3 linked regions of the Oryctolagus cuniculus genome follow. The protein of the gene in region 1 purifies or fractionates together with the protein of each later gene. This does not show direct contact. Links are inferred from orthologs where the notes say so. Each region holds a gene or a part of one and is shown in the gene's direction. Other genes may lie near its edges. The genes, in order: PALS1, PATJ and AMOTL2.

Region 1 (3,648 bases):
TACCTTAGTAAGAGGTTTCTTGAGTCTTCGTCTTTAATCATGTTTAAATTTGTGTATCAGAACTTTTAAGAAATAAATTTGTGAAAAGAGTGATGTGAGAAACAAAAGTGATTTCCTTAGGACTATAAAGAATGGACCACAGGGCTGATGTGATATGCCAGGTTAAGCCACTACTTACAGTGAAGCTGCACTTCTAGTCAGCTTCTTGTTTAATGCACCTGAAAAAGCATGGAAAATGGCCGAAATGGCCCAATGATCACCTGTGTGGAGGACCCAGATGGAATTTGAGGCTCCTGGCCTCAGCCTGGGGAAAGGAACCAGCAGATAAAAGATTCATTTTTCTCTCTCTCTCACTCTTTCAAATAAAATAAATTGCTAAAAAATACAAAATTTAGATATTAAAGATTTTTTTATTATTTATTATTTATTATTATGGAAAGCTAGACTAAAAAATGATCTATGAACAGTTTAATAAGAGTAGATACACTTAAATTAATTGGGGCAAGCATTTGGCACAGCAGTTAACATGTTGCTTGAGATACCCACCTCCCATATAAAGTCCCAGCTTGACTTCTGATTCCAGCTAATGTGCACCCTGGGAGGCAGCAGACAGTAGTGACTCAAGTACTTGGGACCCTGCCACCCATGTGGAAAACAAGGATTGAATTCCTGGTTCCTGGTTTTGGCCTGGGCCAGCCCAGATGGTTGGGGCATTTGGGGAGTGAACCAGCACATGGAAGAGGGGTGTGTGTGTGTGTGTGTGTGTGTGTATCTTTACCTTTCAAATAAAATGAAAAAAAATTTTGAAAAACTTGTTAAACAATTTGAATTATTTAAAATATGTACTTTGTTCAAGAAAACATGCCATATTTATTAATTCATTTGATTGCTCAACAGGAAAACTATGGTGTGCAAAGAAAAATAAAAAGAAAAGGAAAAAGGTTTTATATAATGCCAATAAAAATGATGGTAAGTTCTACTCTCAGGTGGTGGAATTTATATCTGAAGGGGTCTGAATCTAATAATACGTGAACTGATATTTTCATGAAGTTTTATTTCTAGTCCCATTTTGCCTATTAATGGAATATGTGCTTGAGAAAATTTTTCAGTAGGAATTTTCTTTTGGAGTCCCGTGAGTAATGCAGTGTATAATTGGGGGAAAATGGTATAAACATTAGAGTACTATGTAGTATATGTGTATGTGGTATAAAATTGATGGTTTCCATTTTTTTATTATTTAAACCTGTAAAATTAACACTTGCTTCTAACAAGTTCTTTAAAAACAGATGTATTTGAAGTAAAACATAACTCACGTTACAGAGCCAATCCATTCCACAGAGCCCACTAACTGAGTGAGGCACACTCTTTAATTGACTATTAAGATTAAAAAGATTTAAAGTCATTGCTGCCCTTAAAATCAAAAGCTCTGATGACCCTGGGCTTGTATTCCCAATGACAAGTCCCCTGGACCTGACAGATGGCTATTGCCCTACCATTGGGCACCTTTTATTTAGTCAAATAGTTTCCACCACTCCCAGTTTCTTATACACTAATGAAGATAAAATGTTTACGGATGGTTGAGATATTCCACACAAAGCTAAATCTGAGATTTGAGCCACTTTAATAAGCAGCATATTTAATTCCCTTCTCAGCACATGTTTCTCTCAAAAATACCAGGTTTCTTCCAATATTTATAATATTTATAATGTGGTAACATTTTGATTTACAAATTTGGTTTGTGTATCTGTAGCTTTGCCAGTGCTCTGCACAGAACCTGTGAACAGTTGCTTTGAACACTTATTCTGGGCCAGGCTCTGCTGAGCGCTGACAAACCTAAGATGGGTCTCTGCCCTTGTGGAATCTAGTGCTGACTGGGTCTCATACATGAGGCTGCTGCGTCCCAGTCAGGTGAAGTAATAGGAGTGAGGGCAAGGCAGACTGCTGGTTGTCTGCTTTTTTTCTTGCCACTTAACAGCTCTGATTTCATCTGGATAATGGGCTTTAGGAATGTTACCCCACCCATCATGACTCTAGGATAGTGTTCCAAAATAAAGTAAATATAAATGCAGAAAGTATGAATAGCATGAGTATGACCTGTTAACAAGTTACACAACTACAGGAAAGTTTTCCAGCTTCTCTGATAGCTGGTTATAGCAGTGTGTAAATACCTGTGTCAGCTGTTGTGCTCAGCATGTACATTCTGTCTGATCCTTGAAACTATCCTCTTGAGTAGAAGTATCTGCATTGTACAAAAATGACATAATTTTTCTCATTAATTTATATAAGGGTCAATACAACTTTTTTAGCCATTCAAACAATATGAAACAAGATAAGCTGTAAAAAAATTCTCAAAAGATTAGTAGTATATTGTTAGATTCATTTTCTTAGTGTCCTGGCAAAGCTATAAGGACATGGGAAAATGCTCATGATATAGTACTACCATCTACTACCATCTTGATCCAAAAAGTTAAGTATTTTAATGATAATAAAGTGTCCATAATTGGGGGTAGGGTGAGGAGGGACAGATCTGTATATCATTATATGGCAGTAATCTAATTTGTCTGAAGAGCTAACTTTTTCTTTTCCAAAGATTATGACAATGAGGAGATCTTAACTTATGAGGAAATGTCACTTTACCATCAGCCAGCAAATAGGAAAAGACCTATCATTCTAATCGGTCCACAGAACTGTGGCCAGAATGAATTGCGTCAGAGGCTCATGAACAAAGAAAAGGACCGCTTTGCATCTGCAGTTCCTCGTAAGTTTGGATGCGCTCCCATTTTCCTGTCTACTCAATTTACCTGCACCCTCGGAACGTAACTGTGAAGGGAGATATTTCATCAAGGTTGTCAATGAAAGAGGATGTTTGTTTAACCAGATGTTTGACAATTTTTTAAAGATAGTTGTTCTTGAAAAAGACCTGGAAGAAGCTCTTGGCTCCTGGCTTCAGCCTGGCCCAGCTCACGCTGTTGCGGCCATTTGGGAGTGAACCAGCAGACAGGAAATCTTTGCCTCTCTTTGTCTATAACTCTGCCTCTCAAATATTTGTATATGTATATATGCTTTTTAAAGTGGAAGCATAAAACATATTAAGATAATTAGGGGAGAGTGATTGCCATAGAAGTTAAGGTGCCTTAGATACTCATCCTATGTCAAAGTCCCTGAGTTCAAGTTCTGGCTTTAATCCTGATTCTTCTTTTCTGCTAACGTGCAGAACCTGAGAGGCAGCAAGTGATGGTCAAGTAGCTGAAGTACCACATGGGAAACCTGGATTGACTTCCTGGCTCCAGGGCTTTTAGGGAGTGAACCAGCTAGCTGATGGGAGCTCTGTCAGTCTTTGCCTCTCTAATTAATTAATTTTTAAAAATGGAGGGCTGGTGTTGTGGCATAGCAGGTTAAGCCTCCGCCTGTGATGCTGGCATCTCAAATGGAGGTAGGTTCACGACCCAGCTGCCCCACTGTCGATTCAGCTCCCTGCTGACGTGCCTGTGAAAACAGTGGAGGATGACCCAAGTGCTTGGGCCCCTAGACTCCTATGGGAGACCTAGAAGTAGCTTTAGGATCCTAGCTTCGGCCTGGCCCAGCACTGGCTGTTGGGGCCATTTGGGGAGTGAACCAGTGGATGGAAGACCTCTTTCTTTTTCTCTT
Region 2 (3,648 bases), on another chromosome or scaffold:
CCGCTGGATATACCAGTGCCTCATTTCCTTTTAGGCCTTGTCTGAAGCTGCAATGTAAGCAACTGAGAGTGAGGCTGTCAAATGCAGTAGGCAAAGTGGGGCTCACTGGCACCCACCTCACTCCCTGCTCCTCTCTCTCTCTCTCCCCTGTGAAGTTCACAGTTACATGAAACCACCATTATCAGGTGTGCCAGCCCTCCCTCCCGCCCCCTGCTCTGTGTCAGAAGCAGCTCCCGCTGCCAGTGCGCCCTACCTCTTTAGCTTCAGGAGGGACCAAAGGTTTCTGGAGGTTTTCACGGGTTGGATCAGTGAGCTCCAGCCAACCCAGCAGGCAGAAAGGCCCCTGCTGCCCACCACCCATTTCAGGATGCCCTTGTTCCAGGTCAACGGGGTGGACCTGAGGAGCTGCAGCCACGAAGAAGCCATCACGGCCCTGAGGCAGACCCCGCAGAAGGTGCGGCTGGTGGTGTACAGGGATGAGGCGCACTACAGGGACGAAGAGAACTTAGATATCTTCCCCGTGGACCTGCAGAAGAAGGCCGGCCGCGGCCTGGGCCTGAGCATCGTGGGGAAACGGTGAGGACGCGCTGCGTGAGTCACGACTGGCCCTTTCCTTCAGAGAGGTGAAGCTGAGTGTAAACCAGGGGCATGATTTCCAAAGCCGTTGTGAATATTTGAGCAACATAGGTCGTATTTCTGAGCAGTGCGGTATCAAACAAACAAACCTGTCGTTTCCTTATAAAGCTCCATGCCCAGTCAACCTAGCCTGTTACATTTCCTTATAGGTTCTTTCAACTTGGAATTACCTCGATCTGTGGCTTACATACCCAAGATAGCACGGGTTGGCCTGCACAATGTTTTTTTCTTTCTTTTTTGACAGGCAGAGTTAGACAGTGAGACAGACAGAGAGAAAGGTCTTCCTTCCGTTGGTTCACTCCCCAAATGGCCGCCACAGCCGGCACACTGTGCCCACCCAAAGCCAGAAGCCAGGTGCCTCCTCCTGGTCTCCCATGAGGGTGCAGGGCCCAAGCACCTGGGCCATCCTCCACTGCCTTCCTGGGCCACAGCAGAGAGCTGGACTGGAAGAGGAGTAGCCCGGACAGAATCTGGCACCCCAACCAGGACTAGAACCCAGAGTGCCAGCGCCGCAGGCGGAGGATTAGCCTAGTGAGCCGCAGTGCCAGCCGCCCTGCACAATGTTTGATTAAGAAAATTTGCTTCCAAGGGCAGGCATTGGGTGCCCGCATCCCACATGGCAATGCGTGGTTCTAGGCTCAGCTCCACTTCTGATTCTGGCTTCCTGCTAATGTGTACCCTTGGAAGCCCCAGTTTCTGGCACAATCTGACCCAGATTGAAAAGCTGGTTTCTGGCCTCAGCCTGGCCCAGCCGTGACTGTTGCAGGCATTTGGGGAGTGAACCAGCAGATAGAAGATCTGTCTCTCCCTGTCCTCTGTCTCTCTGCCTTTCAAATAAAATGAAAAAACAAAATTTTTCTTAATTTGAAAAGAAAAAGGAAATTGCTCTGGCGTGGAATACCATGTTAATTTTACACTATGTTAAAACACATCGAGGAAACATGGTTGAGAGACAAGTATAAATGATTCGTGACAGTTTTCTATTAGAAAATAGTTATTTGCATCAAGCAACTCTCTTTCTCTGTAACTCTGCCTTTCAAATAAATGAAATGAAGTCTTTAAAAAAAAATGAAATAGCAAAGGAGAAAAAGTGACTAGAAATAGATCACATGCTGGGAGTGAAACTAATCTTCTCTAAGAAAATAACCGATACATTTTAAGAGTACGTAACTCCACTGTTTTAAGTGAATTCCCATTTCACTCCACTAAAATGATGATCTTCAAGAAATCATGGCCTTGGGCCCATGAAAATTAATATTACAACAGGCAACATAAATAACCATAAATGATTGAACTAGTAATTCTATGGCTTTGTAGGACTCTGCTTCCACATTTTAGAATTTAGTGAACCCATATAGAAAATTAGTGATCTAAGATTTTAATTAAGAAATATTAGGTTGTGAGGCCAGCATTGTGGCACAATGGGTTAAGACACAGCCTGCAATGCCAGGATCCTCTATGGGTGCCGGTTCAAATCCTGGCTGCTCCACTTCCAATCCAGCGCCCTGCTAATATGCATGGGAAAGCAGCAGAGGATGGCCCAAGTCTTTGGGCCCCTGTACCCATGTGGGAGATCCAGATGAAGCTTCTGGCTCCTGGCTTCCTCTTGGCCCAGCCCCACTCATTGCAGCCGCTGGGGGATAAACCAGCAGATGGAGGCTTGCTCGCTCGCTCTCTCTCTCTCTGCCCCCCCATTCTCCTCCTCCTTCCTCTCTCTCCCCCTATAACTCTGCCTTTAAAATAAATAAATGTTTACAAAAGAAATATTAGGCTGTGCCAACACGCCATTGCTTTATGGTATTAACAGAAACGGAAGCGGAGTGTTTATTTCCGACATCGTGAAAGGAGGCGCTGCAGACCTGGATGGGAGATTGATTCAGGGAGATCAGATCTTATCTGTGAACGGGGATGACATGAGGAGCGCCTCCCAGGAGACGGTGGCCACTGTCCTCAAGGTGAGTCACACCGGTGCCGTGTGCCCAGCCAGCACCACCACAGGGTGGGGGGATCTGTTCCAGCCTAGCTTGATAACAAATGGGTTGGGCTTTATGAGACTCTAATCTGTGACAATTGTGAATGATCAGGATTAGCTTTAAAAGAAAGCTCTGTCAAATTGGCAGGGCTTTGGGATTTCTAAGGTAGTTTTGCGCACTTGTGAGAATTCCAAGTCTCCACGGTTGTCCTCTGAATATAGAATTCCTGCAGCTCCTTCTGGGGCCAGGTCAGGGAGCACGCGATCATGAGTTCATAAGATCCAGCTTTTAAGACTTGAAGGAACATTTAATATAATCCAGACCAGTTCCTCCTTGTCACACATGAAGTCTGAAAAATGACAGCCAAAGATCACAGTGCTCGCTTGAGTGATTTTCCCACCAACCAAGCTGTCTCCCTGAAATTGTAACCGTGGTAAGGTTCCAAATGCACCTCCAAGTGTGTCTGCCGTGCTTGGAAGAAACTGGTTCATAAAAATTCTTGTAAATTTCCATTCAATTCTGAGCAGGGATTTTGTATATTTCACAAACAGCCATGAAAGCTTTGCATAGACAGAGGAAATTCGTTGGGTGTAAGATTATGACCTCTTGAGAGAGCCAGCTGTTCCCGCCCAGGAGAGGAACTGTGTTTGTAGGTTACATCTGCATTTTGACTTCCTTTGTCCTCTCCTGTACTACATTTCCTTAATGATTTTGCTGTGCATGAACATTTTTTATCAGAAGGGAGAAGGAAAAAGACATGAATTGAAAGCTAATCCTTCTGACACAGATTTCTGCTGTTTTTGTGGGATTTGGGGGTGACTCCTTTTCATCTGTCGCTGTTATTACTCTGTAGTAGCTGTTGGCTGCGGAGGGAAGGGGAGGCGGTGCTGTGCTGTGTTGGGACACAAACACACCTGTTGTTCATTTCTGTTCCATTCTTGTCCTCCAAGTGTGCACAGGGGCTTGTGCAGCTAGAGATCGGAAGACTGCGAGCTGGGTCCTGGGCCGCCTCCAGGAAGACATCGCACAACAGTCAGGT
Region 3 (3,648 bases), on another chromosome or scaffold:
ACACGCGCACCCTGGGCCTGCACCCCCCCTCCCGCAGACACCTCCCACAGAGAGCCCTTTGTGTCCCCCACACAACAGCCTGTCTGTTCCAAGCCAGCCCTGGCCAAAGAGAAAAACCCCTCCTCGTGGAAAAAAAAAAAATTGAGCGACTTGTTAGGCAGCAGGCTGGCCAGGAGCACGTGCGGGAGCTGCCTGCGGCCAAGTGGGAGGGACAGCTTATGGGTTGGAGGGGGGCGGGGCTGGCTCTCTGCGCTCAGCCCCGTGCTGGGGTCCCTTCCTTGGTGAAAAGTGACCAGTGGTATGCAGATGGCCTCAGGCCTCGATGAGTGGCCTGTTAGTGGCAGATAGGTCAAAGCACCTGAACATGGCAGAAGTCTGTGCCCACTGCTGGCCCGCATGCTCGGCCTTCCCGACAGAAACCAGCAGGAGTAAAATGCTTCTTTCTGAATGGTGAGCATAGCAAAGTTTGTGTTTGGTCACTCTGGGTCCCGGAGTCCTGGCCCTGGGGTCACTCAGCATCTGGTCCTTAGGACAGCCGAGCTGAGGTGCCCAGCAGTCCCAGTGCACCGTGGAGGCCAGCAGCTTCTGACCTTCCCACGGTAGCCCCCTGGAGCTTTGGCTCCCGTCCCCTTCTGTGATGGAGAGCAGCGACTGGCCGGGGTCGCGCCCTTGGCGCTCTCACTTCCCTTCAGCTCTGCTGTCTACCTCTCGTAGCTGGAAAGCGAGATCCAGCGGCTGTCCGAGGCCCACGAGAGCCTGACCAGGGCCTCCTCCAAGCGGGAGGCCCTGGAGAAGACCATGCGGAACAAGATGGACAGCGAAATGAGGAGGCTGCAGGACTTCAACCGGGACCTCAGAGGTGACAGCCAGTTGGGGAGCACCTGTGGAGGGCTTGGTTCATGTTCCCTGGGGGGAAAAATATCAGTGCACCTCGACTCGGAGGAGCCCAGGTCTCGTAGACAGAGGCTTGTCTGTTCTGTACCTTGGGGTCCCTCATGGAGCTCCGACCGCGTGGCCCAGGTCGCTCATCGGGCCCTGAGTGGAACCAGGGGCATCCCAATGAGCTCAGCCCTAGCTTAGACGATGCAGACCCCAGGGAAAACACCGACAAGCAGCTCCCTGTGACTAAAACATCTCTCCTTCGTTGCAAACAGAGAGGCTGGAATCTGCAAACCGCCGTCTGGCGAGCAGGACCCAGGAGGCCCAGGCCGGCAGTCAGGACATGGTGGCCAAGCTGCTTGCTCAGAGTAAGTAAGGGTCCCGCAAAGAGGAAGCCGGGTCGACTTGCAGGCAGTGGCAGCACCGCTGCTGCTCGCGGCAGTGCTGGGGGTGCTGTTTACCAAATGGTACCCACCTGCAGGCCCGGGACTGCATGTGTAGGGGGTTGGGCTGGCTTTCGAGGAAGACAAAGATCAGGTTCTATATTTATTGGGAAGGTGAACAGAGCTGGGGGACAGTGTTTGTGAGAGCTGTGTTGGTCAGCAACAGAGGGGCACCGGGCAGAGGGAGGCGGACAGCCCTGCAGGAGGAAGCTGAGAGTTGGCCAGGGAATTTCAGGTAACAGTAAGTGTGCAGGGAAGGGAGGAGCCTGTGGACCACGAGGCGGCCAGGTGGGGGCACCTGAGACAGTCCAGGTGCTTCACCAACAGGTGCAGTCTGAAGAAGAGCTTCTAGAGGCTTCTCAGAAGGGGAAGTCCAGCACCCCCTGCAAGGCAGATGAGCTCAGTAACTAGTCCCTTCATTCATTCAGTCATTCCTCCATGTGTTCGCTTGCAGATCTGTGCCAAGCACCAGGCAAGTGTTTAGCAGAGGAGTGGGAGCAGCCCCAGGAAGTGGCTGGGAGGTTCAGGGGAGACTGGTGGGCTGTGGAGGGAGCAGGTTCCCAAGGCCTGAAGGGAACAAGAACGCTGATGGGCGGGTGCTGATGAGGGAGTCCCCAGTGGCCTGAGAGCAGCCCTGGTGATGGGCATGGTGAACTGGCCACAAGTGAGGAGGCATTGGGTGCAATGCGGATGGCCCAGCTCGTGGGAAGTTCCAGGGTTTGAGGACAGAGTGGGCTGGCAATGGCTGCTGTCCACCAGGAGAGCTGCTATGTGTGGCACAGACCACAGGGGTCATGTCCAGTGGATAAGCAGCCCGAGAATGGAGCTCTGGACAGGGCCCTCAGAGAGGGTTTCAAGCCCAAAGCAGGGAACGGGACAGGGGAACAGCGCTGAAGCCACTGGGCAGGACAGTGCTGGATGAGGGTGGGCTGGGGCGGCCATGGCTGTGGGGGACTCTGGCAGGGGGACCCCTGGGAGGTTGAGGGGGAGGGAAGGGGCCTAGGAGTCTGGAGAGGTCTGGCTGCTGGGGGAGCTGAGGACTTTGGGGGGCCTGGCCCTGCAGCAGAAAGGAAGTCCTGGGGCGGGTTTCTGGGCGGCTGCTTGGGGAGGGAGGGGGAGCCATCCAGCCGGCCTGGGAGGCGTTTCCGCTCCCTGGGGAGCGAGCCAGCCAGAGCCGGGCTGTTCTTGGCTCCTGGCTGGAGCCATTAATCTGGCAGCTGTGGGTGACCCGGATGCCTGGCATTCCAGAGCCGGCTGTTCCGCTCCCAGCCGCTCCCCCCGCTGCTGCGGCCTGGCGCCCTGCTCTATGCCGCTGCCCAGGCTTTGGGAGGGGACAGGGCGACACAAGGGAGGCTGGGACGCTGGGCAGGGGGGCCTGTGGGCCCTTCTCCCCCTCGCAGGAACCGCACCCCACTGCTAGGCCCTGGCTGCTCTGTCAGGGTCCCGCTGGCTGGGGATGACCAAGGCCCGAGCCTCCCAGCCCCCAGCAGAGCCTTAGAGGTTGTACAGGGCAGCCCTAAGCAGCCATTCCTTGCTGCAGGAGCCACCCCGGAGGGCTGCAGAATTCTCAGTGCAGATGTCTCTGGTCAGCCTCTTTTTTTTTTTTTTTTTTTTCAAAGATCCTGAGCAAGCCAAGAGCTGGCCTGGGTTGGCTCCTGCCCCAGTCCCCTGAGTCAATGCATCCTCTCTTCCACACGCCAGGGATCCAAGCCATCAGCCTCCCATCCCAGAACTCATCGTCCTAGGCAGGCCCTTGGCCACACGTGGCCCGAAAGCTCAAACTAAGGAGAACCAAGTCCAATCAAAGCTTCAGAGGGTTCCTCCTACCTCCTAGGGTTGCTGTGAGGATGAGAAGCAATTGTGCTCATCCAGTCGGGGAGGTCGCCATCACTGACCCGGCCACGTCTCCCTGCAGGCTACGAGCAGCAGCAGGAGCAGGAGAAGGTGGAGCGGGAGACAGCGCTGCTGCGCAGCGCCGTTGAGGACCAGCGGCGGCGCGCGGAGCTGCTGGAGCAGGCCCTGAGCAACGCGCAGGCGCGGGCGGCCCGCGCCGAGGAGGAGCTGCGCAAGAAGCAGGCATACGTGGAGAAGGTGGAGCGGCTGCAGCAGGCGCTCGGGCAGCTGCAGGCGGCCTGCGAGAAGCGCGAGCAGCTGGAGCTGCGGCTGCGCACGCGCCTGGAGCAGGAACTCAAGGTGTTGCGCGCACAGCAGGTGAGCGGACGCCTGCATGCAGGTAGCAGAGCAAGGGCGGGCATCCGAGGATGCCGGATGCCGGGGTGTGGTGTTCCGGGCCTGGTTCCTGAGGTTTCCGGGAAACCTTTGCTGC

Evidence for each region.
Region 2: the proteins of PALS1 (region 1) and PATJ purify together in Homo sapiens (co-immunoprecipitation; 5 studies listed by BioGRID and IntAct, counting the BioPlex papers as one, with this or other methods). This does not show direct contact. The link is inferred for Oryctolagus cuniculus from reciprocal best matches to the Homo sapiens genes PALS1 and PATJ.
Region 3: the proteins of PALS1 (region 1) and AMOTL2 purify together in Homo sapiens (affinity purification with mass spectrometry; 3 studies listed by BioGRID and IntAct, counting the BioPlex papers as one, with this or other methods). This does not show direct contact. The link is inferred for Oryctolagus cuniculus from reciprocal best matches to the Homo sapiens genes PALS1 and AMOTL2.

Annotation. Positions count from the first base shown.
Region 1 is NC_091451.1:13,174,776-13,178,423, forward strand, and holds part of PALS1 (protein PALS1), read left to right. Parts: intron 1-897; coding exon 898-969; intron 970-2,590; coding exon 2,591-2,758; intron 2,759-3,648. UniProt on the Homo sapiens protein: Plays a role in tight junction biogenesis and in the establishment of cell polarity in epithelial cells.
Region 2 is NC_091438.1:110,665,958-110,669,605, reverse strand, and holds part of PATJ (inaD-like protein), read left to right. Parts: intron 1-382; coding exon 383-576; intron 577-2,443; coding exon 2,444-2,591; intron 2,592-3,559; coding exon 3,560-3,646; intron 3,647-3,648.
Region 3 is NC_091435.1:147,068,696-147,072,343, forward strand, and holds part of AMOTL2 (angiomotin-like protein 2), read left to right. Parts: intron 1-714; coding exon 715-859; intron 860-1,154; coding exon 1,155-1,247; intron 1,248-1,412; exon of another isoform or gene 1,413-1,889; intron 1,890-3,149; exon of another isoform or gene 3,150-3,237; coding exon 3,238-3,533; intron 3,534-3,648. UniProt on the Homo sapiens protein: Regulates the translocation of phosphorylated SRC to peripheral cell-matrix adhesion sites. Required for proper architecture of actin filaments.